Saccharomyces cerevisiae S288C: one gene and its partner. Changing the gene in region 1 together with any one later gene gives a genetic interaction. Each region holds a gene or a part of one and is shown on either strand. Other genes may lie near its edges.

Region 1 (3,007 bases):
GATGCGAACCTTCTTTGAGAAACTGCAGCAGTCTTAGCGATAGATCGGTAATATTGGATAGCTCTTGTGGTCCTCGCCACTGTGCTAAGGGTCTTTGTGGTTCTTGTTCTTAGCATGCTCTATTTGCAAATCTTTTCGTTCAAGCACCTCGAAAACCAAAAGAAAAAACAACTAAACTTTGAAACAGCTGCAAATGCACACTGTATTATCAGGTTTTAGGTGTCCTAGTAACCGTATCAGCTTGTCGTTGCTGCAATACCAATGCAAAAGCATGGCTAAAAGACTTCGTCTGACTTATTTCCTTCCGGTGGCAAACATCATACACCCTTTACAAAGCACCCATACATTACATTGAATACATTACACACTAACAATAAAATATTATCTATATCGTTACATTCATTAATTACACGAGAACCAACGACCAGCAGGAAATAGCCCCGTGCTATTCCATCCTGACAGCTAGCAACTTTTGCGATCTACCACCTGGTTTTGTCTTCTCAAGGCACCTCTTCGTCGTCCTGCTCATACATTAGTTGATTCTTCAGCGCCTGTTGTTGCCTGTATTTAGCCAAGTAGATTTTCAACACCTCTGCATAGTTCTCGAATCCTAAGGCGTGCAATGATATGAGAATGTCTTCCCCGTTTATCGTCTTTCTTTTGTCAGCAGCGCATCGATCGCTGGCCTCGCTAGTCACAAAAGAAATGAGCTCACTGACACACTCCTGCATGCACTCTTTCGCATCTTTCGATACCTTAGCACTCGGTGGGAGAGTATTCTTCATGAGTCGCGCTACATTGTTGATGGGTAGCCATCTGTCCTGCTCTCTTAGCGTGGAAATTTGCTGCAAACTGCCGCTGGAGCTAGCGTTTCCACCGTTCTCCTGAGTATCCTCTGGGCTTGTGCTAACATGTTCGGACTCGTTGGTATTCATATTCTCGAGAGGTTTGTGCCACTTGTGTTACTATCTAGCTTAGTCCTGCTCTTGAGTTTGATTGGCGGAAAGCTACTATTCGCAGCTCTTTTTTTACTTAGTCTGAAAGAGCGGACCAAAAAACGCACGTAGCGCGATATTGTCGTGGCATCGAACGTAATATGGTACTTCTATTGTGCTATATTTTGGCAGAAGGTTTGCAGTAATCGCAGCCTGGAGAAGACAATGCGTATTAGTAGCAGTAAAGGGCCACAGATAGGGTGATTTGAAGTTGATTCTGCTTTTGTCAGTGAAGGAAAAGAAAAAATGGCGAAAAAAAACTCACAATTGCCCTCTACTAGTGAGCAGATCTTGGAAAGGTCCACAACAGGAGCTACCTTCCTCATGATGGGCCAACTTTTCACCAAACTGGTAACGTTCATACTAAATAATTTGTTGATCAGGTTTCTGTCGCCCAGAATTTTCGGTATCACGGCCTTTCTAGAATTTATACAGGGCACAGTGTTATTTTTTAGCAGAGATGCGATTCGTCTGTCGACGTTGAGAATCTCAGACTCCGGTAATGGAATAATCGATGATGACGACGAGGAGGAGTACCAGGAAACTCATTACAAGTCTAAAGTTTTGCAAACCGCAGTCAATTTTGCTTACATTCCGTTTTGGATCGGGTTTCCACTGTCCATTGGTCTTATCGCCTGGCAGTACAGAAACATCAACGCGTATTTCATCACTCTTCCATTCTTCAGGTGGTCGATTTTTCTTATCTGGCTGAGTATCATCGTGGAGCTGTTAAGCGAGCCATTCTTCATCGTCAACCAGTTTATGTTGAACTATGCCGCAAGGTCAAGATTTGAAAGCATCGCGGTGACTACAGGATGTATTGTCAATTTTATAGTTGTTTATGCCGTTCAGCAATCCCGCTACCCAATGGGGGTTGTCACATCGGACATTGACAAAGAAGGCATCGCCATATTGGCATTTGCCTTGGGAAAGTTAGCACATTCGATCACCCTGCTAGCATGTTACTACTGGGACTATCTCAAGAATTTCAAACCAAAGAAATTGTTCAGTACCAGGCTAACGAAGATAAAAACGCGTGAAAATAACGAATTGAAGAAAGGCTACCCAAAGAGCACATCTTATTTTTTCCAAAACGACATTTTACAGCACTTCAAAAAAGTTTATTTTCAACTATGTTTTAAGCATTTGTTGACAGAGGGTGATAAGTTGATTATCAATTCTTTATGTACTGTGGAAGAACAAGGCATTTACGCTCTATTGTCGAACTATGGATCGCTACTAACAAGATTATTATTTGCGCCGATCGAAGAATCTCTGCGGTTATTTTTGGCCCGTTTATTATCCTCGCATAACCCTAAAAATTTAAAACTATCTATTGAAGTCCTGGTGAATTTAACAAGGTTTTACATATACTTATCGTTAATGATCATTGTATTTGGGCCTGCCAATTCATCCTTTTTATTGCAGTTCTTGATTGGCTCGAAATGGTCCACTACTTCCGTTTTGGACACTATAAGAGTCTACTGCTTTTACATCCCATTTTTATCGCTTAATGGTATTTTTGAAGCTTTTTTCCAGAGTGTAGCCACTGGTGACCAAATTTTGAAACATTCATATTTTATGATGGCCTTTTCTGGTATTTTCCTGCTCAATTCCTGGCTTCTTATTGAAAAACTCAAACTATCAATCGAAGGCTTGATATTGAGTAACATCATTAACATGGTGTTGAGAATATTGTATTGTGGAGTTTTCTTGAATAAATTTCATAGGGAACTGTTTACAGATTCCTCTTTTTTCTTCAATTTTAAGGATTTCAAAACAGTTATTATTGCTGGCTCAACGATCTGTCTACTTGACTGGTGGTTTATTGGGTACGTTAAAAATTTACAACAATTTGTTGTTAACGTATTATTCGCAATGGGATTGTTAGCGTTAATTTTGGTCAAGGAGCGCCAAACCATACAATCTTTTATTAACAAGAGGGCGGTTTCCAATTCTAAAGATGTATAAACAAAAATTCTTATATAACTTAGGCGACACATAATATGCGC
Region 2 (3,664 bases), on another chromosome or scaffold:
CATGCTACCTTCCATGGTTGAGCAAACCTATCACCCGGTGATAACAGCAAAACATGCTTATTGTAATTGGGCGTTCTATGAGGAAGCTTGATATGAGGATCTAATGGATCAGTTTTTGAAGGCAGCCTTGCGTTTATTTCTTGGCAATAACAGTTTGTTTGATCATTTTGAGCACGGGTATGAAGATCAGGAACGCTAATATGTTTGAAGCTATGATGGAAGGATGCCCGCTGCTGCAAAGTTTTGACAGTTATACGTAGCATTTTATTTTTTGTGTCAGTGCACCTTCTCTCACTTTTCTACTAAGGAAATTTGATATTTCAAATGTAGTATGCTAATAAATAAGAACACCCGCATGCACGAAAAAGGGAAATTTAAAACTAGTTAGGTAAACAAAGTTCAGAACAAGAAATGATATGGTTGTTTTACATAGATATATACTCAGTATTCGTTTTTATAACGTTCGCTGCACTGGGGGCCAAGCACAGGGCAAGATGCTTTTATAAACTATAATGCGAGATATTGCTAACGTTTAATGTGGAGCCCATCATGTTACTTTTATAAACGCTCTCGATTAACCTGTGTAATATCAGAGCATCCATCAAGGTGGGAAAGCCTTCGAAATCGAAACCTTGCATTACAAATTGTGAGGGTAATTCAGGAATTTTCTTTGTATTGAAGTGGAAGTCAGAGATAGATTGATACAGTCGATGAATATTACCCACAATGGCATTATAATTTCGTAAATGATATACTTCCATGATTTCTTTACCTGCATCATACCCCGGGTCTAAAGGAGCTTGTTGTCCATTGGCTAGCGGGAAGTCGTTTGCTCTAGTTCCACTGTAGTAAAGGACCAGATTTGAAATTTCTGCGAAGCCGGCATCGCCTTCAAGTTTCAAATCTCCCTTGGTACCGTGAATGTCAATGACCAAATTTTTGGTAAATTTTTTGGTAGGTTTGCCACCTTTGAAACTGCATGACACTGGAACATTGCCATTTAACAATGTGCCTTGGAATAAAAGATGATCCGGTACTGTCTTTGGGACTCGCTGGCCCAATCGGTTACCACGCTCATCTATCAGCTCTTGCTCTGGAATATTATTGAAAACCATTGCATTTATCCTGGAAAAGTACGAACTTGTCATGTATTGTAAAATATCGATTGTGTGACCAAATGTTGTGGTTACCAGATCTACACCGTTCCCGATTTCATAGATGTATTTTGGTGATTTAACAGGCCTTTCGTAGCCGTACCAACCGCCATTTCCAGCAATCTCGATCGAATTAATGTCGCCGATATAGCCTTGAGATATTAATTCTTTTGCTCTCAAAATATATGGTGATTTACGACCTTGTAAAGAGATGATGGTTTGAACCCCACGTTCAGCAGCAGCCTTATAAATGGATTCGGCTTGATCTAGTGAACATGCAAGGGCCCATTCTACGAAAAGATACTTGAGGTTCGGATTATTTTTGGAGAATTCCAAGAGAGGCATAACAACTTCATAATGGCTGGCCACTTGGATAGCTATCACTATCATATCTATAGTGGAAGATGATGCAAATGACTCTAAAGTGGGAAAAGCAGTGGCATTACTCAATTTTAGACGCTGAATGGTGGCAATAGAAGTCTCAATTTTTGGACTGTATAAGGCAGTGATTTGAAATTGTGACGATAGTTGCAGTATGGCGGGGTAATGTGTCTTGATTGCCCATCCTTTGGCTGCGTTGAGACCGACGAATCCGACTCTTATGGGAGCTGCATTAGGCACGGTTGAGACCGAAGATCTCTTGTTGTAGTCCATGACGGGAGTGGAAAGAACGGGAAACCAACTATCGAGATTGTATACGCTGGTCGGCAAGGACCAGCAGTGATATGTGATGTATATATATTCAGGTTCAAAAAAAAAAGTTATGAGCTTTTGGTTATTATGAATGTAGCAGACATTTTGAGGTCGTTCGGGCGAGAGTGCGCCGGTAAATGAAGAAAATATAGGATATTATTAATATTAGAATTAAACTATTATATTGCAGGGGAGAGAAGAAAGGGGTATAAATATATATTACAAAGCGGAAAACTTGCGCCATTTAAACAGAGACATCGTCCGGGCGCTCGTGTGATTTTCTTATAGTGAAGAAGTTAATACCTTTAGGTTGGTTTTCCGTAGCAGCAGTGGCAGTGACCGGATTAGCATTGGAAGAAGGCCCCACTATGCTTGCACTTTGTTGCATGTCTTCAGGTCCAGTGGCAGTCAATATTGGGTCAGTTGCTTGCTCCTTCTCTCTATGGAAGGGATTCCATCTGGAGGAGGTTCTGTATCTTGAATTGTCGATGGAGTAAGTAGAGGCCAACCTTGCCCTAACAGACCAGAAGACCAGCAGGATAAATTCCACGATACATAAAAAGACACTTGCCCAAGCCATACCCATCATAGAGGCACCCAATTGGGCACTACGATGATCGTCATGGAAAGCATTCTTTGCCATGGCAGAGGCGGCCGTTTGCAAGACAACGGCTGCCGTATTGAAGACAAACCCAAAAGACATGAGGATAAGCACCATCTCTGAAAGCATCTTCGAGCACCAAGTCAAAACGTAAAGGATAAACGACACACCTACAAAGGCAAGCGCAATCCAAAAGAAACAAAATGAAAATCTAGTCAGGTAGTAAAAAGCGTCTCTTTTGGAAATAAACTGGTGAGGGACATTGATGTGTGTGTTGAAGTTATCTACTGGGGAAATGGGGTATGCAGGTGCCAAATTGCTTGTGCAGGTATCCGACCCGTCTTTATCCTGTAGACAGGCGCCCCAAAACGTCCAACGTGTTTCATCCCCAGCATTAGGTATGCCTGTTGTATTGCCCTGCACCCAATAGAATCTGTTCACGGGGTAATGGTCCGTGGCACCAGATATAATCATCAAAATTAACAGCAAGGTATTACCTGCTAAAAACAGCAACACTACCAGACGTAGTACTATATTCCAGACCTTAACCATAGTATTGTGCGGATATGCGTTACTATACTTAGTCTCTTCAATATCTACGGGAGTCAAGAGGTATTAATAAATCTTCTTGCGTGGGTGTTGCTTGTTTGTTTGCTGTTTAAGTATCGAGGAGATGTTGAAAAATGTATCGGGGGCCTCGAGGCGACACCTGCTAATGTTTACAATTTTCCCGATTGGGGTGCTAGAGGCATACAGTGGGCTACATGGCACAGCACGGCAGTGCAGAGTGAGAAAATATGACTTCACGCTCGAGGCGAGGCCACGCTTTCGAAGCTTCGAATGCCACTACCTAGACCATTGCTGTTTTGTACCTTCACGGTCCCATTAGAGACATTTTACTTAATGCAAGATTGCCATATCCGTTGTCATGGTACCAAACAGGGTAATAATTTCTAGAAATCATGATACACGTATGACATCTGGGTAACCTAATCCATCTGGGTAACCGATTTTTCTCTCCCTTTGCTTTCTCTTTACCACTCAGCTGACTTTATTATTTTTTTTATATTTTTCATTTTGACAAAATTATATAGTTAGGAAGAATACAATAGGACTGCGACAGAAACAGATAAGGGCTCTTTTTTCTTGGGGTTGGCTGCTTTTATTCATTAATTTAAGACTCAAGTGTGCTGCGTGAAATGCTCTCATACTATGA

The links. Genes that interact genetically often act in the same process or in processes that back each other up.
Region 2: mutations in HAP3 (region 1) and GAL80 together harm fitness more than expected from each alone (negative genetic interaction), as found in Saccharomyces cerevisiae (3 studies listed by BioGRID).

The regions. Positions count from the first base shown.
Region 1 is NC_001134.8:181,160-184,166, forward strand, and holds HAP3 (Hap3p), read right to left. Parts: upstream 936-3,007; coding exon 501-935; downstream 1-500. Other genes in the region: ATP-dependent Lon protease PIM1, read right to left, coding at 1-116; RFT1 (glycolipid translocation protein), read left to right, coding at 1,242-2,966. UniProt on the Saccharomyces cerevisiae protein: Acts a component of the CCAT-binding factor, which is a transcriptional activator and binds to the upstream activation site (UAS2) of the CYC1 gene and other genes involved in mitochondrial electron transport and activates their expression.
Region 2 is NC_001145.3:169,738-173,401, reverse strand, and holds GAL80 (transcription regulator GAL80), read right to left. Parts: upstream 1,809-3,664; coding exon 501-1,808; downstream 1-500. Other genes in the region: AIM32 (Aim32p), read right to left, coding at 1-263; SUR7 (Sur7p), read right to left, coding at 2,092-3,000; YML053C (uncharacterized protein), read left to right, coding at 3,648-3,664. UniProt on the Saccharomyces cerevisiae protein: This protein is a negative regulator for the gene expression of the lactose/galactose metabolic genes. It binds to GAL4 and so blocks transcriptional activation by it, in the absence of an inducing sugar.